Alligator mississippiensis: one gene and its partners. The protein of the gene in region 3 binds, or shares a complex with, the protein of the main gene of each other region. Links are inferred from orthologs where the notes say so. Each region holds a gene or a part of one and is shown on either strand. Other genes may lie near its edges.

The links. Proteins that work in one complex are often made in the same cells at the same time.
Region 1: the proteins of VAMP2 (region 3) and CPLX1 are in contact, whole or in part, in a crystal structure (PDB 1KIL), measured with the Rattus norvegicus proteins. The link is inferred for Alligator mississippiensis from reciprocal best matches to the Homo sapiens genes VAMP2 and CPLX1. Residues at the interface, in NP_036795.1 of Rattus norvegicus: Arg47, Val50, Asp51, Leu54, Asp57, Gln58, Ser61, Asp64, Asp65, Asp68, Ala69, Gln76; in NP_074055.1 of Rattus norvegicus: Leu41, Arg48, Tyr52, Glu56, Arg59, Glu60, Met62, Arg63, Ile66, Arg67, Tyr70, Gly71, Ile72.
Region 2: VAMP2 (region 3) and STX8 share a complex: the UniProt entries of both Homo sapiens proteins name them as parts of the SNARE core complex. The link is inferred for Alligator mississippiensis from reciprocal best matches to the Homo sapiens genes VAMP2 and STX8.

Annotation. Positions count from the first base shown.
Region 1 is NC_081826.1:151,083,330-151,090,370, reverse strand, and holds the start of CPLX1 (complexin-1), read right to left. Parts: upstream 3,011-7,041; 5' UTR 2,760-3,010; intron 2,188-2,759; exon of another isoform or gene 2,044-2,187; 5' UTR 1,966-2,043; coding exon 1,935-1,965; intron 1-1,934. UniProt on the Homo sapiens protein: Positively regulates a late step in exocytosis of various cytoplasmic vesicles, such as synaptic vesicles and other secretory vesicles.
Region 2 is NC_081831.1:20,450,562-20,457,993, reverse strand, and holds the start of STX8 (syntaxin-8), read right to left. Parts: upstream 3,011-7,432; 5' UTR 2,921-3,010; coding exon 2,904-2,920; intron 2,838-2,903; exon of another isoform or gene 2,447-2,837; intron 512-2,446; coding exon 412-511; intron 1-411. UniProt on the Homo sapiens protein: Vesicle trafficking protein that functions in the early secretory pathway, possibly by mediating retrograde transport from cis-Golgi membranes to the ER.
Region 3 is NC_081838.1:25,064,566-25,072,235, reverse strand, and holds VAMP2 (vesicle-associated membrane protein 2), read right to left. Parts: upstream 3,011-7,670; 5' UTR 2,996-3,010; coding exon 2,832-2,995; intron 2,367-2,831; coding exon 2,246-2,366; intron 2,140-2,245; coding exon 1,981-2,139; intron 1,856-1,980; coding exon 1,804-1,855; intron 1,387-1,803; coding exon 1,370-1,386; 3' UTR 417-1,369; downstream 1-416. Other genes in the region: AURKB (aurora kinase B), read right to left, coding at 3,496-3,660, 3,876-4,050, 4,138-4,286, 4,481-4,619, 4,727-4,918, 5,116-5,173, 5,265-5,382, 5,565-5,616 and 1 more. UniProt on the Homo sapiens protein: Involved in the targeting and/or fusion of transport vesicles to their target membrane. Major SNARE protein of synaptic vesicles which mediates fusion of synaptic vesicles to release neurotransmitters.

The DNA.
Region 1 (7,041 bases), on a different chromosome or scaffold from region 3:
CAGCAGTATGTCCTTGACACCTCAAAAATGTCAAAACCACAGACAGCCGACAATCGTAAAATACTGCTTTTTTAAATGCTAACATCATAATGCAAATATTGAGATTGGCACATGGCATTTTGTTGGGATTGATGCCAGGCTGGACTTTGATCCTTAGCTATTCCATGGGCAATCACTTCCTTCTAAGTAATTTCAAATCCAGAGTTACGGCTGTGCACCTTAATTGTTATGTATTAAGTACAATTCCACATCATAAAACATTTCATATTTTTTCTTCTGTATATTCTCCTTCCTCCAGCAAGGGAAAAATTATGCCACCTTTAATCAGTGTAAGTGGTCCAACAAGTCTGATTCTCCCACCCATAAATGCACTGCTGAGTACTGCATTCTGTGAGTAATCCCATTAATTTCAATGGGATACTACTGATACTATTCAGCTTGAGTAAGCGTAGCAGAACTCAGTAAAATTATTTCCCTTTTAAAGTGTGCATTGAATTTTAAATTAAATATGGCAACACACTGGTAAGCAACATGCAAGTCCCTGGTATCAACTATGTGCTTAGGTATAGTCTACCTAACCGGCAGGTGAAACCCATAAGAAATTAAAGTGAAGAAAAAGAAATTAAAATGTAACCTTTTTACCCTCAATGCAGAGTCAGGCATTTTATTGCTCTATTTTTTCAATCTAAAATGGCTTCTTTATTGCATTTTATAGGTAAATACGGAATATTCTTAGAACGAAAAGCGACTTGTGGTAAAAATCTATCATCAGTTTAAACAGCAAATGATATCAATAACAAGTACAAAATAACTGCAGTAGGTCTGATGACACTATAATTTATCTAAAGTAAAAAAGAACAGATAAGAAACAAAATGAATAAATCTAAATTGTACCACTGGCCTCCAATTAGGCCTTAATATCCCATGAACCTAACATACAGCCAGCAATATCAAATATGCGACTTGTGGCATTTCTGCTGAATCAGAATGGGTCACAGAGGCAGCATAATGCCAACAGAATGAGGGAATTCCTTTATTAATATCATGAGTGCTTTTATTTCATTTTGTTGTTTGCATTGTATAATTAGACAGGTTTATTACATGCAATAGGAGCTGTGTTTATGCAATGTTAAAGATCAGGCTCTAACAGCACACCTTTGGAGAAAGGTCTTTGGCTCAGATCAGTGGATCTCTCTGTTGCAGTAGTCCTAGAAACCTGACTAGTCTTGTGCGCAGTTTGAAATATCTGCACTATTTGACTTTAAGTCAAAATTTGAACAGAGCTTCATGCCTGTAATAGAATTCAGGGTGAGATCTCACATATTGAATTTTGCCACTTAGTTTGGCCTTACTCTAGATATGTAAAATCTGCTAATAGCAAGCAGATCTATAACTAGCACACCAGGTTGAAACAATCATAGTCGTTGAAGGCAGCATACTATTGTGAGCAACAATATGTATGGGTGACCAGCTGCTAGAGATTAAAATGTGTCTGCTTGCCTGGGGCACCCAGGGCCATATGGATTATGGACCCAATTCAAAGTCTATTGAAGTCAGTGGAAAAATTCCCATTGACTTGAACCAGGTCCTATGGTACTCCACTTCCTGCTGCCCCCTGGAGTTCAAAGCAGTAAACGTACTCCTTGCTGCTTTGCCAGATGTATGAGTGCCAGAATGTTTGGTATATTGTGAAGACATTTGCAGGACGCATTCAAAAGAAAATAAGTTGTGGCAATGCAATATTGCTTCATCTGCTCAGTGGCACTGCATTTGGGGTTCTCCAGTGAATTCTCCCATGTGATTTTAAAGGGGAAAATTCCTACCCGGGTGTGCTGCAGACGCACGTGAAAAAGTGAGGGGACAGCGACGAAGTGACAGAGAGAACCCAAGCCCTTATCAGATCTGCTGCATGACATGCACAAAACTAGGCTTACCTCCTAAAGCTTGTTTCATGACAAAATCCATGGTGATGGCTTTAGATTCCTCCGCTCCAGTTCAGATCTCACATGCAAGATGAACAGAACCAAGTCCCGGGGTGGTCACCTACAAGGAATGGGCAAGACAAGAAAACAAAACAAAAGAGACGGGGGTCTGTCTTTGGGACCGGCAGGCAGACAGCATCTCTCTGTGTCTCTCTCTGTGCTGCCCTGGGTGGCCTTTCTAGCGGCTTGCTGTCCTCGTCTTCCAGGGCAGCTCAGCTGCCGGCTCAAGTTTTGCTCCGTTGGGTAGCACCGCCCCCCAGCTCTGCAGTGAGGTGGGGAGGCTCCGGCTGGGCGGGAGTCCCGCACGCAGGAGCCAGGTGCTAGTCAAGGTGAACGAGGTCGTGGTGGGAGCCGCGGGCCACGGGACAGGGGAGCCCCGCGGCGCTGCCCGCACAGCCTGCTCGCGCCGCGGGGCACCGCCGGGACGCGGCCGGCCGGGCAAGGGTTAACCCTGCACCGCTCCCGCGTTTCCGCAGCGGAGCCGAGGGGGCATTTCAAGGTGAGGCGCTCGGGCCCCCGCGCCGCGCCGCGCCCCGGCCCCGAGCCCCAGCCGGCCGGGCAGAGGGAGGGCGGCCAGCGAGCGCCCCCGCGGGCCGAGGGCAGCGCGGGAAGCGGGACCCTCCCTCAGCCCGCGCCCCCCGGAGCAGGACCCCCGCGAGCCCGCACCGCAGCCCGCGCCCGAGCGGCCGCACTTTGAAGCGCCGTCTCGCGGGCACCGCCCGCCGCCAGCACCCGGGGCTGGACAGCTCCCCGCGCCCGCCCGGGCCCTGGAGGTACCTTCCTTGCCGCTGCGGCCGGCGCGGAGCCGCTGCGCCGCGCTGCGCTGCGCTGTGCTGTGCTGTCCCGGCCGAGCCGCTCAGCGTCCGCCGCTGCCGCGGGCCGGGTCCATGCGGTGGTGCGGGGCAGTCACATGGAGCCGGGGCGCGGGCGCCTGCAGCGTGCGCAGCGCGGGGAGGACGATTCCGGCGCTTCCCGCTCTCCCCGCTGCCTCTTTTTATCACGGGGTTTCCGGACCATCCCACCGCCGCCGCCGCTGCCGCCGCCGGCCCTCCTTCCTCCGCCGCCGCCTCCCCCTGATGCTGCTGCTTCGCCCTCGGCCGCCGCCCGCCCCGCGCCGCCCCGCCCCGCCCCGCCCCAAAGCGGAGCCGGGGGAGGCTGCTGCATGCGGCGGGGCCTGCCCGCGCCTCCTGCGTGCGGGCCGGGGCCGGGGCTTTCCGCGCCAGTCCCGGTGGGTGCGCGGCGCCCAGGGGCTGCAGCCCCGCGCCCTGAGGGAGCCCGCGGCCTCGCGGCGCCCCTCAAGGTCAAAGACGCTGCAGGGCTGCGGGCCGCCCAGCCGGGGCCACACGCTGGTCTCGGTGAAACCGGAGCAAGGTGCCCAGAGCACCAGGGCTTTGCGGCCTCTCCAGGGCTACAGGCAGGGCTGGGCTCGCCAAGGGTGGCGGTGGCGCTCTGGCGATGTACTGATGGGGAGTGGAGGGGAGGGGGTGCCCTGGGGTGCCTGAGACCCCCTGAAGGTGCCTGCAGCGAGTGCAAGGGCAGGCGAGGACCACCCCCCTCCACCCACTGCCTGGCCCCTCTGCAAGAGGCAAGCGCCGTCAGACACACATCACGGGCTTTTGAACTGATGAGCCACTCAGTTGGCACAAGTTCCTGGGGGTGCCCAGACTCTAGAAAGCTTCAGAACGACTGGGCTACTAGAAAAGCTGCCACCATCTGGCGGGTACACGGAGAGCATGCCAGAGAAGAGCTGTTTAGCAGCTCTGTCATGCAAGCACGTTTTCCTGCCTTAAATTTCTTGTCTGACATCGGTGCTTTTTCAGGCCTGGTCTCCCATCAGGCCTGCACGGGCTGCGTGCTTGGTGCGCCCTGTGTCTCTCAGGCAGGACCTCAGTGACTTCAGCACAGGACCAAGAGGAGGGTTATCCCTGCTACAAGACAACTAACATTCCTAGGCCTCCATCTATGTAGTGTCCAACATGACCGAGCCTCAAAAGCAGACTGCAAGAGCTTTGGGGTGGTGACCACCTTTCTGTGCTGTTTGTACAGCACCCCGCACAGCAGAGCTTTGATCCCTCCTTGGAGCCTCTTGGGACATGCTAGACGGGGAGGAGAGATGAAAGCAGCATCCTACCCACCATCTGCTGCTGCAAGATGGAGGTGGGGCAGCTGACAGCAATTGCCAGTATTCTCAGTGCAGATGTGCTCTGATCCTAACATCACTGAAGTCATGAGAGAAAAGAAAAAGGCAGGGTAACTTGGAGGACTGAACACTTGCCTAAGAACTCAGGAAACCTGGTTTCTATTCCTGGTTCTGGCAAACGTGATCTGGGGCAAGTCACTTCTTTTCTCTGTACCTTAGTGTTCACACATGTAAAGTGGGAATAATTATACTTACTTAAAACACTTTTTGAGGCTATATAGCATGGTAGATCTAAGTGCCATTGTCCTTGCTGGTACAAGATGTGAACTTGCCTCTACATCCTTTCTTTTTTTGTACTTGAGAATGTTTCATTTAATGCATCTTCACAAAGAAAGACATATTCCTGCCCCACACCGTGCAAACCACAGTGGAAGCTTTATCACTGCAGAGAAAAGGCACTTCGAACATAAAAGAACATCTCTCTCTCTCATGGAGTTCCAAGAGAACACATTAATGTGCTCATAAGACCCAGATGACAGAAGGTGAGTGGGAGACAAGGGGAAGCAAGAAAAGATACAGCCCTTCTAATGCTATTCTTAGGTTCCATTATTCTGAGAGGTGCCCTTGCTGTCTCAAACGTGTCAATCCTTATTTTTGAAGAAGTGATCAGGATTTTGTCCATTATGCAGTGGATAAGGTGCTAGACGAAGACTCAGAATATCAGATTATCTTCCAGGCCTTTCACTGCAGATGCCTACACTGAAGACAGTGCTAGAAGCATACCCAAGTACTAGCTACAGCTTAGTGAGTACTGGCTACAGCTTAGCCACAGCAGCACCAAGCTCAGTACTGGGTAATTTTCCCTGCTGGGAAGTACAAATCATTTCCATCTCTGTGGCTTCATTTTCTTCTAACAATCTGTCTGCAACTATTTGGAGTACAAGATCTTCATAGAAGAACTGTCTCCTACTAGGTATCTACAGCAAATGAGGCCGCTGCCACATGCAGGGCCTCCAGAAGCCAGCCTAATCATATATGTGTGATGTGTCATGTTATTCTCCAACTTTTCCTGCTAAGTATCAAAATGTATGTGTGTGTGTGTGGGGGGGGGGGGGGGGAGTGAATCAAGTTTCTCTTAACTTTCGTCTTTTCAAAACACCAACATGTTGTGCTGCTACTGCCCTGATCATGCGCTAAAGCTCCTGGAGAGAAAAAAAGTAGCACTTGTCTGACCTGGAGATGGGCTATTCCTTATTGCTAGTGTTCAGGAGAGACTCACTATCTTGTGCACCCTCTGATGCTGGAGTGTAAAGTCAGACTTTCACTTGTCTGGCACCTCTCAACTGATGGCAGCAACATAGGGCCCCTGCAAGACAAATCAGGACAGTTGGTGGTTGACATGGGGAAAAAAGCAGAGCTCTTCAATGAGTTATTCACTTTAGTATTTCTATGTACCGACCAAGTCAGTTCCCCCACCTCAATCATTGATGGATGTCCACATGGCACCAGTCTGCCTACGGTTAGTTCTGAAATAGTTAAGGAGCTCCTGGAGGAGCTGGATGGGTACAAGTCAGCAGGCCTGGACGACCTCCATCCACAGCTGCTAAAAGAATTGGCCAGTGTCATAGCTGAGCCGCTGGCACAGCTGTTCGAGCACTCATGGTGCTCCGGCCAGGTCCCTGAGGACTGGAGAAGGGCCAATGTGGTGCCCATTTTCAAGAAAGGGAGAAGGGATGAGCCAGGTAACTTTAGACCAATCAGTCTTACCTCTATTCCTGGGAAAATGCTAGAGCAAATAATCAAAGAACACATTTGTGCAGGCCCAGCAGGGGAAACGATGCTGAGGGGAAACCAGCACAGGTTTGTCACAGGTAGATCCTACCTGACAAGACTTGCAGCCTTCTATGACCAGGTCACACACTGCCTGGATGTGGGAGCTGAGGCTGATGTCATCTTCCTGGACTTTAGGAAGGCCTTTGACACAGTTTCGCACCCTATCCTCATTGGGAAGCTAGCAGAATGCGGAGTGGATGCCTACACGGTCAGGTGGGTGGCCAACTGGCTTAGGGACCGCACCCAGAGAGTGGTGGTGGATGGTTCCTTCTTGGCCTGGAGGGAGGTGGGCAGTGGGGTCCCGCAGGGTTTGGTCCTCAGACAGATATTATTCAATACCTTCATCAGCGATTTGGATGAGGGCGTGGAGAGCACCCTCTCCAAGTTCGCTGATGATACCAAGTTATGGGGCAAAGTTAGTACACCGGAGGGCAGGCAGCAGATTCAGGCTGACCTGGACAGGTTGGATCAATGGGCAGAGAGAAATAGGATGCAATTTAATGAAGATAAATGTAAGGTACTCCATGTGGGAATGAGGAACCCCCAGCACACCTATAGGTTGGGGAGTGTCCTTCTCAGCAGCTCAGAGGCAGAGAGGGATCTTGGAGTCATAATTGACTCCAAGATGAACATGAGCCGGCAGTGTAATGAGAGCAATAAACAAGGCCAATCGCACCTTGTCGTGAATTAGCAGGTGCATGACTAATAGAACAAAGGAGGTGATACCCCCCCTCTATGTGGCACTGGTCAGGCCGCAGTTGGAGTACTGTGTCCAGTTTTGGACACCGCACTTCAAGAGGGACACGGGGAATCTGGAGAGGGTCAAGAGGAGGACCACTCACATGATTAGTGGCCTTCGTGATAAACCCTACTGGGGGGGGGGTTGAGAGAGCTGAATCTCTTCACCCTTCACAAGAGACGGCTGAGGAGAGATCTTGTGGCTGCCTGTAAATTTATTAGGGGAGGTCAGTGGGGAATAGAGGAAGCGCTGTTTACTAAGGTGCCCCAGGGAGTGACTAGGAATAACGGGTGTAAATTAGTTGAGAGTGGATTTAGGTTAGATATTAGGAAGACATTTTTCACAGT
Region 2 (7,432 bases), on a different chromosome or scaffold from region 3:
ATACAAGGTAAGTAGAAGCTCTATTCTGATTTTCATTGTATAAAACTTAAACTTTTTTTAAAATTACATGCCTATTATAATGAAATAGTTATTGCAACATTGCTTAAGCTTCATATATTTGAAAGCCAGATAAACCATTAGGTCTCTAATATGACCTTCTGCAAAATCCAAGTCATAGAACTTCATTCGGTTACCTCTGCATTGAGTTACTTTATTTAGCTAAAACATATCTTACAATTTTACATTCAATCTTGAATTTAAGATAATGAATCTGCCATAGCAAGCTTTAACTTCCTGAAACTATGCTGAACAAAGCTAAAGTTTTAACACTGCATTCATTTATAATGAAATATAAAATTTAAGCTGAAAGAAAAATTCACAAACTTTACGTCTTTCATGAAGATATGGTACCTTTGATGAACTTTCCCCATTTCTTTGACAACGGTTACGTTCCTGGATCTTTTCAGCAACCTCTTGTGCAATTTGACAAGTGGAATCATACATCGACAGCCTAAAAGTAAAAAAGATCTAAGTTTAAGAAAAGTTCTCCAAGTGACAACCACTGCCAGAGTTCCTGGTTTCAATCTCTCTTCTGTTGGTCAAGACTGGGCTTTGGGTAGATTTTCCTTTTCAGAAAATTTTTAAGGTTTGAGATACTAAAAACAAAGGAGCCAAACACAAAGTAGTTTCACTTCTAAAATTAAAGGCATCGGTAGTAACATTTGTTGAAAATGTCACTGCCAACTTTCAGAATCACTGGAGTAGCCACAGTATGGGGAAGTGCTGGAGCCAGCAGATGAGGAGTTAGGGTCATGGGTGAGGCAGGCAGAGGGCAGCCAGGGCTGTATCAGCCCTCACTTGCTTTTCTGCCACCAATTGTTATGTCTACTGGGGCCCAAGGGCCCCAGATTCTGAGGCAGGCCACTCTCTCAGGCCATTCCCTACAACTTCCAGGTGCCCACAAGCAGCCCAGTGGGCTGGATCCTACCTATGGGCACATGTTTGAGACCCCTGCTTTAAACCAGCATTACATTTCTGGTCCTCTGATGTGTGGTGCAACTTGTGGCTAACTCTAATCAGAGACCTCAAAAGTGCTCAACCAAGAACCCCCTTAGCCACTTCTAAGAAGAATGAGAGCAACAAAGATTGGCAATAATCTTTGTTTAAATCAAATTGGAGCATCTTGTAGAGGGACACATATTCCTGAAGAGACTTTCCTATAGTAAAGTCAAGGGCAGCTCCCATTATACCAGGTACACACAAAAATTCCCATTCTTCCTTAGACTATTTACAACCAGCCTGGTGATGGCTCAGAAGTAAATCAAAAGATATCAGACAAAGTAATTGTGGTATCTGGTTTTTATTTACAGTACTAGCTTGCATTTTTTAATAATCACAGAAAACAATTTTAAGTTATTATATATCACTAATAACAGCTTTTGAGTTACATTTTTCCTATTACAGCATAATCTTAACATAAGTGTGATCCACTAGGACTAACTAGTGGACCTTTTACTGTTAAATCAGCAGAGCTAAGAAGAAAACAACAACACTTAAGAAATGATTTCCATGTAGACCTAGCCCACTGTCTCAGATAGGATGCATTTTGTATCTAACAATCACATGAAGGAGGCATCAAACCCTACCTTGGAAGTGAAGTGAAGGGGGAAAGAGAAAAGGAGGATGGGGCAAGCCAAAAGGATTAAGCATGAAGGGGAATTACTCAAGGCAACTTTGTAGTTAATTTAATTTAATCTCAAATGTTTCTGTCCTGGTTTATGTTGTTTCTTTTCTACACACTGGTAATATCAGTACTTTCCAATGGACAAACTGGCCAATTATAAATAGCTCGTAAGACTGAGCACAATGCCAAAGGTACGTCAGTCTTAACAAGATTCCTCAATAAGTTCCTTAACCAGGATAAGGACCAGCAATGGACGGTGCATGAGACTTCGGATAACCAAAACAGGAAAACTTAACGTGGCCGGGAATAAAACAGAGGTAACAGCTACTTCTCTCCAGCAGAGGTTCCCAAACTTGCTTATTGTGTGTCCCCTTCCAGATTTATCAACATTTTACATTTTCAACCCCTTAAACGCCAATTATACCGAAAATTAAATCTGCCATTACACAGTTTCTCCCCCATACCCCCAGAGACGTCCTGCGTCCCCTCAGGGGTCCACCTACCAGTTTGGGAACCTCTATCCAGGATGGAAGCAGGTGCGGGCAACCCCCACTTAGTGCTCTTAATTTGGTTCCCGAGAAACAGAGCGTTAAACTAAACCGAGAGTATATGACTATCTGAGACAGTGTTTTTAATGACCCAAGACAGCAACCGCAAGCGTTGTAATGAAACTCACTGAGCGCCAAGTGAAATCAGGGATCAATTTTAAATGAGTGTTATAGTGAAACAGCGCTAGGCGAAACAGCGTTAAGTGGGGGTCGCCTGGATTTCAAACGCACACATCTCCGAGAGGCAAACGGGGGTCACAGTTGGAAACCGCTTCAGACCCACGGGCTGCGTAAGTGCTTGGCACGAGAGCAGCACCTAACCCTGACCTCCGCCTCGGCCACCCACGTGCGTCTCTAGGAAGCCCCTGCCCCTCAGGGGCTGCATCCTTCCTTCGCTCGGGGGGGCCGAGGGTGCGCGGAGGACTCCGCTTCGCCTACGAGGGGCCGCGGGGGCAGGGAGGAGAGGGGGTCGGGGGCTTCGCCTTCCCCTTCGCAGCCCCACGCGCCGCTAAGCGGCCCTGGGGGCTCGGCCTCGCGCTGCCCGCGGCGGCTGCAGGGGAAGCCCCTGGCCGCGCTCGCCTCCGCAGTAGTGCCCTGCGCCCGAGACAGACAGCAGCCCCTCCGCAGCCGGGGCCGACGAGCAGCCGCTCCCCTCGGCGGGCGCCGCTCACCAGGGGTCTGGAGCCATCCCCGCGCCCGAGCCCCTCAGCGCCGCCACTGGACACTTCCGGGTCGCATCAGCTGACTACGGCGAGCGCAGAAGCTCAAACCACGGAAAGCGAAGAGCGGCCGTCCGCGTCGCCCCGCCCACGTTCCTTCCCACACTGCGCACAGCCAGGCAGCCGCGCATGCGCACCCCGGTGCCACGTGCAAGGCACGTGGGGCTGCACCGCTGGTTTGCTGCACCATTTTGGCTTCTCAGTGTCTAAGCCGCGCTGCCTCGTGCGGAGCTTTGCCCTGTACCTGGGTGGACTGGTTTTCTTCTCAGGGTTCATCCAGCCCAGTCCCCTGCACGGCCCTATGCAGAGGTCCTAGCTGGCCAGTCCCCAAACTGCTTCATTCACATGCTGCCCATCCCTGGCCCCCACCTCCTGGTCAACCTCCTCCTGGCTCTGGCCCGCTGCTGTGTCTGATGGGGGAAGGAGGGTGCTGGGGGACTGCGGGGCTGCTTACCCTTGCCCTAGTGTGCTCCCATCTCTGAGCAGAGTATCACTGGGCAGTGTCACTGGCTTCTCAGACTCATTTGAGGGCCAGCGGTGGCTGTCCGGTGTGCTCAGCTCAGTGTCCCTGCTCCACACGCTTGTTTTCAACCTCTGACCATGCTCCCATCCCTGCTTTTTATTATTGGTCCCAAGAAATCTGTCGTCCCCTTCTCCTGTGGCCTCCACGCCTAAGGGAAGCCAATGAGTGACTTGGTGGGCTGGGCCCACACATTTTTTAAAGGTGGACAGATAAGCTGACCAGCACATCTATTGCTGTTTTTTTATTATTTGTCCCAAAACGTCCCCTTTTCCTGTAGCCTCCTTGCCTGAGGGAGGCCAATGAGAAACTTGGCGACCTGGGCCCATGTGATTAAAAGGTGTCAAAAAGGCCTGCCCAGAGATCAGCTTTATTGCACTTAAGCTTTCCTTGACATAGGCTCTTGTGCCTGTTTTCCTCAAGCCCCCGCTCCTGGAGTCTTGGGAGTAAGCAGGAGTTTCAGCTTTCGTTTAAAACCAGACGTTCCCAGCCTTTGCGGCTATAGAGGAAGGTTTGCCAGCAGGCCTAGAAGGGCTTAGAAACTGGAAGGCAAGTCAAGAGTTTTGAATTTTAAAAAATATTTACTGTTCTTGAATCAATGTGGTGAGGGGGATAGGACATGACATGGTTTTTGAATGTTTACAGGTAGCAATGCTCAGCCTGCAGAGGGGGAATTGGTACATCAGGGTCAGTCTGATGACGGCCTTGAATATCAGGAAAGAGGTTTCAAGGTGGAATTCAATCCAGTATCAGAGCAGACTGAAAACATAAAACAGGGCAGCGGCTCTGCATGGGGCAGCGCAACCAGTTGCAAAGGCAGTTCCCCAGGGCTGCTGCCCTGGTTGTGTCCCCTCTGTTAGGCTACTGGCGCAGAGGGCAGTGTTGTCAGCAATACGCCTCGTTAGGCAGCAGCCCCATTTACAATCTGAATTGTTTTAAGTCTGCAAAGGGCACAGGGTTCCAATCTTAAATACAGAGATTTGCATAATGATGCAAATTTATGGACAACCACGGATGGAAATTGGTGTTTGTGCACCATGTGCTTGCATAATGCTACAGTGTTTGGGTTGCAAACATTACAAAGGAATGTTTATTTGTTTAATACAATTGTTTTCACCAAATTATTTTTAATTCCATGTAAATGTTCCTAATAAACTCGGTGATCCTTCTGTATGGAAGATAATGTGTCACCTGATTCTTGCCCTTAGCATTTGTAGGACAAATACATTTATGTCAATTTTGCCTTTGAATTTACATAGCTACTATGTAACAGACAAACATTACTTTTTGTTAAATTAAAATTTGTTCAAGCCAATGGGTCTCTCTTACTGCTGGCTCTGTACAAGCCCCTATGGAACTGAGATGCTTTTTGAGCTTATGAATGCTATTATAATACCAGTATTATAGTTTGAATTCAATATTATTGAAACCTGGGGAATGAAAGAGCTGCCCTTTGTGTAAGGTAGTTATTAGAAGCTGTGAAGCACGTTGATGGGACTAGGTAGGACTCTGGGCAAAACATGAAAATGGCAGGGTAAAGGTGCACCTTATAGACCAAGTGAATCAGAGATGTATAAGCTTTCATAAGCAAGAGATGCATGAAGATGAGTCAGGGACATAAGGTACAGAAAGGTTAAAGTGTTCTACCAAAGGCTTTTGTGTATTTTTGGACTTGATATCAAATCAGTGTTCCCTCATTCTTTTATGTAGGAATTGCCCTGTCTGTCCAATGTAGACAGTAGAGAGGCACTGTAGCTAGGTAATGACATTGATAGAGGTGCAGCTGAATGAACCTTGGATGTTATAATCCATATTATTTGGTCCAGTGATGATGTGATATGCATTGATGAGGGTGCAGAGTTTGAATCTGTGTCTGCTGAAAAGACTGGTGCCTCAGAGTAGAGCTTAAGTAATCTGTTGCTTGAAAGACACCATTTGAGGTTGGGGAGCTGTCTGGAAGCCAGGACAGGTTGGTCCCCCATGGCTACCCTAAGATGAGAGTAGTTAGCTATGTTAATGTGAAGTCAGGCAGAAGGCAGGGTAGGTTACAGAGATCTGTAGCATAAGCTTTCCTGTACCCCAAGCTCACTTCATCAGATGCTGTGAAATGCATGGAGCAGCCTACCAAATGGAGAAATTAATTTGAATACAAAGGGGGGTGGGGAGGCAGGGAAGCAGTGCTGGGAGAGTGGGAGAGGCAAACAAGCTATAAACCCATAAAGACAAAGGGGTCACAAAAGCTAATCCAAGAATTGGGATAAATTCCATAATTCTTGTTCAGACCATGCTTAACACAATCTAGTCCGTGAATGATGTCTTGTTCTACTAGTTCCCATTCCAGTTCATCTTTAAAGTTTTGCTGTTTAAGAACAGCTGCTCTGAGGTCAGTGATGAGGTGGTCATCATTTTCCAGGAGGGGTTGAAGGTTATTAATGATGCATCCAAGGTGTTCAAACTGGGGGCTACAGAGGTATGTTGTTACTCTAATCCAGGCCTGTCCATCTTCTAGGGGCAGCTGGGAGCTACATGCCCTATAGGATGCACCGGCAGAGGCCACATGCTGCAGAGGCCACATGGGTGCTGAGGCCATGGGCCCAAGCTGCACACCATGTGCAGACATGCAGGCAGGTGCCTCCCTGCTGCACTGCATGTGGTACTGCACCTCACCTTCAGCTCCCTGGCCACAACCTCCCATGCTGCATTGTTCCACATGGGCACTCTGGACCACCAGCTCTCCTGGCATCATGGGCTGGCTGTATTACCTGACCCTATCCCCTTGGTGGAAGTGGAAGCGGAAGAGGGAGCGGGAGCCTGAGACCCCAGTTGCTGCTTCAGCCAGTGCTGGGGACAGTAGCAGCCAGGTGGGAGTCCAGGGGCTGCATGTTAATCCCTAATGGGCTGCATGTGGTCTGTGGGCTGCCAGTTGGACAGCCTTTCCCTAAAACAAGACACAAGTGATTATTCCCCTCTATTCAGACCGCACTGTGTAAACCACTGTTACAGTCTTTCCCTTAGATGGCCTGTTTCACTGGTTTACACAGTGCTGTCTGCAGATTTTACTGGGCCCTTCTACTCTTTTCCACTGACATGCTTGACTATAAAGTGTCGCGTGGGTCCAGGAGAAATGTTGAGGGTGACATTGGGCTGGCAGTTCATAACATTTGTGAACTGTTGGCATGGATACCATATGCTGATCTTAAAATCAGCTCTTAATGGAGGGAATTTAGAGGTTCTGGATGATTGGAAAAGGGCAAACATGGTGCCCATGTTCAAGAAAAGGAAAAAGGAGGATCCAGGGAACTACAGACCAGTCAGCCTCATCTCAGTCCCTGGAAAAAATCATGGAGCAGATCCTCAAGGAACCCATTTCTAAGCACTTGGAGGAGAAGGTGATTAGGAACAGTCAGCATGGATTCACCAGGGGCAACTCATGCCTGACCAACCTGATTGCCTCCTATGATGAAATGACTGGCTCTGTGGATGTGGGGGAACAGTAGATGTGGTGTACTTTGATTTTAGCAAGACTTTTGATACGGTCTTCCACAACATTCTCACAGGCAAGCTAAGGAGGTATGGGCTAGATGAATGGACTGTAAGGTAGATAGAAATCGGCTGGAGCATTGGGCTCAGAGAGTAGTAATCAATGGCTCAATGTCTTGTTGGCAGCTGGTATCAAGTGGAGTGCCCCAGGGGTTGGTCCTGGGGCCTGTTTGGTTCAACATCTTCATCAACGACCTGGAAGATAGTATAGAGTGCACCCTCAGCAAGTTTGCTGATGACACCAAGCTGGGGGGATTAGTAGATATGCTGAGGGTGGGGCTAGGATTCAGAGTGACCTAGACAAATTGGAGGATTGGGCCAAAAGGAATCTCATGAGGTTCAACAAGGATAAGTGCAAAGTCCTGCACTTAAAACAGAACAATCCCATGCACCAGTACAGGCTGGGGACCGACTGGCTAAG
Region 3 (7,670 bases):
CGCGCATGAGAGTCCCAGACGCCGGGGTTCTGTGTGCACAAAATCCCGCACACCTGGGTTCCATGTGAACGTGCGCAAGTCCCGCACACCTGCATTCCATGTATGCACATGTAAATCCTGGACACCTGGGAATCCTGGCTGCCTGGGTTCCGTGCGTGAGGGGCCCGGACGCCTGGGTTCCGTGCGTGAGGGGCCCGGACGCCTGGGTTCTCCAGGAGTTGAAGGGAGTCCAGATCAATTCAAAGGCTTCCCCCAAACCTAGGCAGAGGGCAGGGACCCCTTCCTGAGGCTGGAGCAGGCCCCAGCTGTAGTTGGAGGACAGTGATGGTGCTGCCAGGGTAGGCCCCAATGCTGCCACCTCTGGCTGAGGCAGCAGCATCCCCAGGTGGGCTGGACAGAGGGACCAGAGGCAGTGCTCTCCACAGGACACCAATTTATTGTACATTTTCACAGCATCACGTCGCTCCCGGCTCCTCCGCCCCTGCCTGCCTGCCTGCTGAGGGGGGCCCCAAGAGCAGGGGGGTGACAGTGACACCCACCCCCCTGCTGGGGGCCCAGCCCCCCTCTCCCCCTTTCCCTCCGCCTGCCCAGGGGGTCCCCAGTGCCACGTCCCTCCACGCAGCAGCGGCGGGGATGCCCCTGGGCTCAGCCCCCCCGGAGCGCGGGTCCAGCGAAGTCATCACAGGGACAAAGTCACGAGTCACATCTGACATCTGCTAGGGGGGGGGCACTCACCACCACAACACACGAAGGGGGGCAGGATTGGGGCACCCCCTGCTGGCCACCAGGGACCCTAGTGCCCCCTGACATTGGCCACCAAAGGATTAACAGGGGACCCCCCCAAGCCAGGCCAGCCCCCCAACACCGGGGGGGGGGGGTGGAATGTGACCCCTCTAAAAGGGGTAGTTTGGGCAGGCTAGATCTGTGTGGCAGGAAGAAAATGCCCCCATTAAGGGGGTGGGGTGCAGGGGGGGCTTCCCCCACGCCCCTTGGTCTAATCAGGAATGTCACAGAAGCTGGGGGGATGGGGAGGAGACCGCGGCCCGGCAGGAGATGCAGCCACCTCTGAGGTGGGACAAGGGGGGCAGTATCATGGAACCCCCTCCCCCACTAGGGGGGTGGCTGGGGGGGCGGGGCAATTAAAAGACAATTAAAAACACAGCAGGGGAGGGGAGGGACACCTAAAAACCTATTAATAAATCTACAAACGGACAAAATAGAGCAGCTCTATGTGTGTATAAATAACCCGGTATGTACAGACGGCCAGGGGGGGAGGGGGGGCGCGGAGGGGGCACACGCACACGCACGCACACGCACGAGGGCTGGAAGAGACGGCCGGGCCAGGCTGGGCCGGCACCACACGGGGCCTCTAGGTGCTGAAGTACACTGCAAGCAGAGGGCAGCCGTCAGCTCCACGGGGCAGGGCTGAGGTACATGCAGCTGGGTCTGGGGTGGGTCCTGGCTGAGTATAACAGGGCTGTGACCCAGGGTTGAGATGCAGCTGGCTCTGGGGCAAGTCATGGCTGAGTATGACAGCCCCTGACCCAGGGTTTGATGCAGCCGGCTCTGGGGTGGGTCCTGACTATGTATAAAAGGGCTGTGACTAAGGGTTGAGATGCAACTGGCTCTGGGGTGGGTCAGGCCGAGTATAACAGCCCCTGAGTCAAGGGTGAGATGCAGTCAGCTCTGAGGTGGGTCACAGCCAAGTATAACAGACCCTGGCCCAGGTCTGAGATGCAGCCAGCATTGGGGCCCCTGCCAGGGCTTCCTGGACCACCCCCCTCCTCCCCCAGCAGGACTCACCGATGATGATGATGAGGATGATGGCGCATATCACCCCCAGGATGATCATCATCTGCAGGAGAGAGACCGTGAGTGCAGCAGGAAGAAACGGGGCTGAGTCGGGAGTGAGGGGCACTGGCAGGGCTAGGGGGGCAGGGGGCTGCAAGTCAGGAGCGAGGGGCTGCAGCGGGGCCGTACCTTGAGGTTCTTCCACCAGTACTTGCGCTTGAGCTTGGCGGCGCTGGTCTCAAACTGGGAGGCGCCAGCCTGGAGAGCGTCCGCGCGGTCATCCAGCTCCGACAGCTTCTGGTCCCGCTCCAGCACTTTGTCCACGTTCACCCGCATGATGTCCACCACCTGCGGGGCCGGGCAGGGCGGAGGTGTCAGGCCTGGGGCTCCCTACCTCCCCCCCACACTGGACCCAGGTGTCCAGGTGCCGTCCCACCCCCAGCCTATGACTCACCTCATCCACCTGGGCCTGGGTCTGCTGCAGCCTCCGGTTACTGGTGAGGTTGGGGGGCGGCGGGGGCGGGCCCCCCCCTTCTCCGGCGGCAGGGGGGGCGGTGGCAGCAGCGGGGGCCGACCTGGGCAGGGGGGAGAGCTCAGGCCCTGGCCAAGGGGCCCACAGTGCCCCTCACCCCCGCCGCCCCCATGGGCCCTGCCCTGCGCCAACACTCAGAGTCCCTGCGCTGCCCGGGGCGGGGCGGGGTGGGGTGAGGGGGGGCCAGTCAGGGTGACCCCAGGCCCCTGGGCTGGGGGCCGCACTTGAACGAGGCCAGAGGGGCCCTGTGACACGGTGGGCCGAGCCCCTACAGCCCCTGGGGCACGAGGCCTGCGGTCCCATGGGGGCAAAGCCCGCGAGCCCCGGGTCCCTTTGGGGGCAGCGGCTGTGGGGGCTGGTGGGCGCAGCCCCCGTGGGGGTCGGGCCCCCTGGTCCCGAGCGCGGCACTGGCGTCACGGCCCCGCCCCCCCCGCTAGAAACACCCGGGGGGGCCGGACCCCGGGGCGACCCCCGCTCCCCTCCCCTCCCCCGGCCCGTTGGCGCTCACATGTCCGGCGGCGGGACGGGACGGGGCGGGGCGGGACGAGGCGGCGCGCTGGGCCGGGCCGGGCCGGGCGGGCGGTGCGGGGCCGGGGCCGGGGCCGGGCCCGGGTGCGGGGCGCGGGCTCGGTCGGTGCCGGAGCGAAGATGGCGGCTGCTCTGCGCGCACATCCGGGCACCGCGGGGGGGCGGGGGCCATGGCAACAGCCCCACTGCGGGGGGGTAGTAGGGCCATGGCAACAGCCCCCGGGGCAGGGAACGGGGCGACCATGGCAGCAGGCCCGCAACGAGGGTCCCTGATGGAAACTACAGCACCAGCCCCGAGGAGCAGCAGCAGCAGCAGCAGCAGGGGGAAGTCATTGCAACAGCCCCTGGAAGGGCATGTCCCCCCTCCCCCGCAGGCTCCTTCCCTCCACCCCAGGGGCCTGCGAGGGGGGATCTTGCCCCCCCCCCCCAGCAGGACTGCGCCCCCGGGCCATGCAGGTGCACACACGTGTGCTAGCAGTGTGCCCACCCAGGGGCCCCACCCCGTGCCCCATGCCCCCCCAGAAAAACAGCACCTGAACCCAGCTGTAAAAATCAAGACTTTTATTAAACACAAAAAGATGACAACATGGGGGGGAGCCCCAGCCCACGGGGGTAGGACCAGGCCCCCACAGGGGAGCAGGGGGCTAGGGGGCATAGGCAGGGGGGAGCACGCGGCGGGAGTTGGCCCGCACCCAGGGGTGCTCGAGCACAGCGCGCAGAGGCAGGCGCTCAGCCGGGACGTGCCGCAGCAGCTTGCCAATGAGGTCGCGGGCACCCTCGGGCATGGTAGGCGGGAAGCGCAGGTCCACCTGTGGGAACACACATGGGGCCGGTGTCACCTGCGCGTAGCGCCCCACCCCCAGCGCAGGGGTGCAGCTGGTTCTGGGGTGCGGGACACACACGGCCCCGGTCCCCAGCACCAATGCTGCCACCCCGGGGGTTGGGCATAAAGCTTGCCCCCTCTACACATCCCTGCTGCCACGATGCAGCCAGCTCTGGGTGGGACACGTGGGGGCTGGCCGACCTTGGTGATGCGGCGGTAGGTCTCAGTGTGGGAGGCACTCTCGAAGGGCGGGTGCCCAACCAGCAGCTCGTAGCACAGCACGCCGGCGCACCACAGGTCCACCTTCTCGTTGTGCGGCTGCCCCTCAATCATCTCAGGCGGCAGGTAATCCAGTGTCCCACACATAGTCTTGCGCCTACGGGGGCAAGAAGGGGCTGTGAAAGCCTGGTTTTGGGGAGCCCCAGCCCACCCCCTGCGCTGCCCCCGCCCCCCTGGCACTGACCGCAGCGAGGGCGCATGGACCGACCAGCCGAAGTCAGCGATCTTGAGCTCGCCCTTGAGGCCCAGCAGCAGGTTCTCAGGCTTGATGTCGCGGTGGATCACCTTCTTGGCATGGCAGTAGATCAGCGCGTCTGCCAGCTCCTCCATGATCTGGGGGGGGGGTAAAGGGAGGGGGGGGTCACATAAGGCCCCCCGACCCTAGGGGGTCAGGCTAGCCTGCACCCCAGCCCCCCAAAATTACCTACTCCCCTCCTGGGGAGACCCCCCCCAGCCTCCTCGGTGCCTGCCATTGCCCAGAGCCAACCCGGCCTGCAGCAGGAGGGTGCCCCCACCCCCCGGCTGACCGTGGCACTGCGCTGCTCATCAAAGCGGCGGCACTTCTGCAGCTCCTTGTAGAGCTCGCCGCGTGGCGCGTACTCCAGGATCAGGTACACGCGGCGCCGGTCGTGGAAGTAGTTGTAGAGCCGCAAGATGTTGGGGTGCCTGGTGGGATAAAGAAATAAAGTGAGGAGGAGGTGAGACCACCCCCACCCCTCGCACCCTAGATGGAGCAGGGGACAACGGGGTGGCGCAGTCCCGTTGTGGCGCACCGGAGGTGGGCCTGGATCTCGATCTCGCGGCGCAGCTGGTGCTCCACACCCTCCTTCTCCATCTGCGACTTGAAGAGCACCTTGAGGGCTACGAGGAAATGCGACCCCTTCTCCCGCGCCAGGTACACGTTGCCAAACTTGCCCTTGCCCAGCGGGCGCCCGATCTCGAAGTCCTCAATGCTCAGCGTCTTTCTGGGGGGGAAGCAAGTGTGTGTCTGGGGGGGGGGTACAGCACCCCTCACACCCTAACACAGCCAGGGGCTTCCCAAGGGGGCATCAGCCTCCAGGACTGGTTCAAGGGGCAGTGCCACAGGGGCATCTGCCCCTCCCAGTGGAAGTGGGGGAGAATCCCAGCCCAACATACCCCCCACCCCAACATGGGCACTTACAGGGGGGGCTGCGGAGCGACCTGGGCGCCAGCCTCGACGGGCACCCGCCCGGGCACAGCTGCAGAGAGCAGAGTCAGTGCAACCCCAGCCGACCCCTACCCCCCCACCCCCCCAGCATGTGTGCACCCCCCACCTCGCCCCACCAGCACCTGCGAGGAGGGGGGGCCCAGCGGGTCGTGGCCCCGTCTTGCCTGTGGCGCGCTGGGCCAGCAGGGCCTCGGCGGGTGTCTCCTTGCGCGGCACACGCTGGGGGCCAGGCGCACCATACTGTGAGGGGGACACGGGGGGGGGGGGTGAGGTGGAGATGCCCCCCAGCCCCCTCCCCAGAGCCCCCCGCTCACCGCCGGGGCAGGAGCAACACGGGGCCCCAAATCGCAGCAGGATCCGCCAGCCCCGGAGGGAGCAGGGCCGTGACCCCCCAAAAGGGCAGAGACCCCCCAGGTGCTCACCTTGGCCAGGCTGCCCAGGGCCCCGGGGTTCACGTTCTCCTTGTGGGCCATCCTGGGGGGCGGGGGGCGTCAGTTCCATGGGGCCCCTCCGTCCCCCGCCCGGCGGAGTCAGGAGACCCCCCCCCGTGCGCCCGCATCACCCGCCCCGCGGGCCGGGCGTATCTTGTCCCCCCAACCCGGACCCCGATGCCAGCGCCAGGAGCAGCCCCGTCCCCTCCGCACGCCGCTCCTGCCCCGCGGCCCCTCATTACGCCCCCAGTACCTCCGCGTTCCCCTACCCACGGCTGCTGCTGCCGCCTCGCGCTTCAAATCCGCCCCGCCCCGCGCTCCCATTGGCTGCGACGGCCGCCGGGTCCTGGCCCTAGCCTGCGGCTCCCGCCGTTTCATTGGCCGCGCGCTCCCTCCGCCCTTCCCCCTTGGAGGCCGAGCCCTTTGCCGCCTGTGCTCCCATTGGCTCCTGCGGGAGGTGGCGGCTTCGGATTGGCGGCGCGGCGAGGTAGAAGTCCCGCCTCCCTCCGGGCGGAATCAGGCGCGCGCAAAAGAACTGGAGGGGCGGAACCTGGTGCGGGTTGGCCGAGCTGCCCGTCAATCCGAGCGGGGCGGGGGCGGAACTCGTCACGGGAGCTGGTCTGCCTGGTAACGGCGGAGAGGAGGCAGGGGGCGGGTGTTGAGTTGAGCTCAGCCAACGGCGGGCCGGGAGCTGGCGCCGCCAGCCAATCAGAGACGGGGCGAGGTGACTCCGCGTGCGAGGGTGCCGAAGCCGCTTAGCAGAATTGCCCTTTCGCAGAAAAGCGGCATTGACCGTTGCGGCGTAGCGGGGCGCGTTCTTCGGCTGGGTTTGTTTGGGGGCCGCTCGGGCACTCAGGTCCCCGAGTCCCTGCCCCCCGCCCCCGAAAACCCGGGTGCCCGCCCCCTGGACTGTGAGGGCCCCTGGGGGCGTCTGGCTCCAGCCAGGGGAGCCCCCCTCCCCGGTGCCGGGATGGCGCAGGAGGGGCTGCAGGGCCCTTTATGGGACCGGGAGACTCCCCCTCCTTGCTCCTGCAGCCGCACAGCCAGGGCAGGCGAAGCTCGGGGCAGCCGAGGCCTCGGGCTGGGCCCGCGGGGCGCCGGCCGTCGCAGGGTTTGGAAGCCTCTGAAGGCGCGGCGGGGCGGGGGGACACGGGACGCTTGCCGGTAGCAGGGCCACGTGTGGTCCTTGCGTGATTCGAATGGATTTGGGCCTGATCGGGCTAATTTGACCCGGGACACGAAAAAACCTCCTTAAAAATCAAGAAGAAATCCAGTGCTCGGGCCGGCGGAGGTTGCCGCGGCGCGGGGCGGGCGGGCGTTTTGCGCTCTGCGGTGCGAGTGAAGGTCTGTGATGGCAGGTGACTAGGTGGAGGTGCGAATAACTCTTACTTTTACGCATATACTAGCCAATTGCCTGTCAAGAATGACGGGGGTGGAGGGACAGGCGGGGACAGCCCTCCCCCCGACCTGCTCCTGCTTCCCTTCTGCTGCTTGGGTCTTGCCTGCTCCCCTCCCCACCACGGTGGGCCCGGGCCGCTCCCACACCCCGCATTACCTGCAGGGAGCGGGGGGACGGGACCCTGCCGGCCTCGCCCCCCACCCCCCTCCGTCCAGGCCGAGGGCTGCCTTCTGTGAGAATGTTTCTTTGCACTCTGATTGGCTGTTTGTCAGCCAATCAGAGCACAAATAAAGTGTTACAGGCAGGCAGACAGACAGACTTAGGCTTTTATAATATTTGAATAAAAACATACTTTTCTAAAAAAAAATTGTTTTAAATCCACCGCTTAGGCTCCACTCTCATGGGTCTTGCTGCCTTGCGGAGAGGCTGTGCAGCCACATGCACTGCTCCCATGAGGAGAAGCACTGCTCTGCTCTCCAGCCTGGATTCGTCCCAGCTGCTTTTACTTGCCCTTTCTTCTGCCGACCTTGCCATTTCCTTCCAGGGGCCGATCCCACCCTCCTCCCCAGCCCTGGGCTCCTGTGTTCCAGGGATGTGTATGGGCCACAGTTGTGCCCCATGAATGGAGCCTGCGAGCTGTCCCACTGCCCCGCCATGGGGTCGGCTCTGCCCCTGCCCAGCCTGGCAGCCCTCCACAG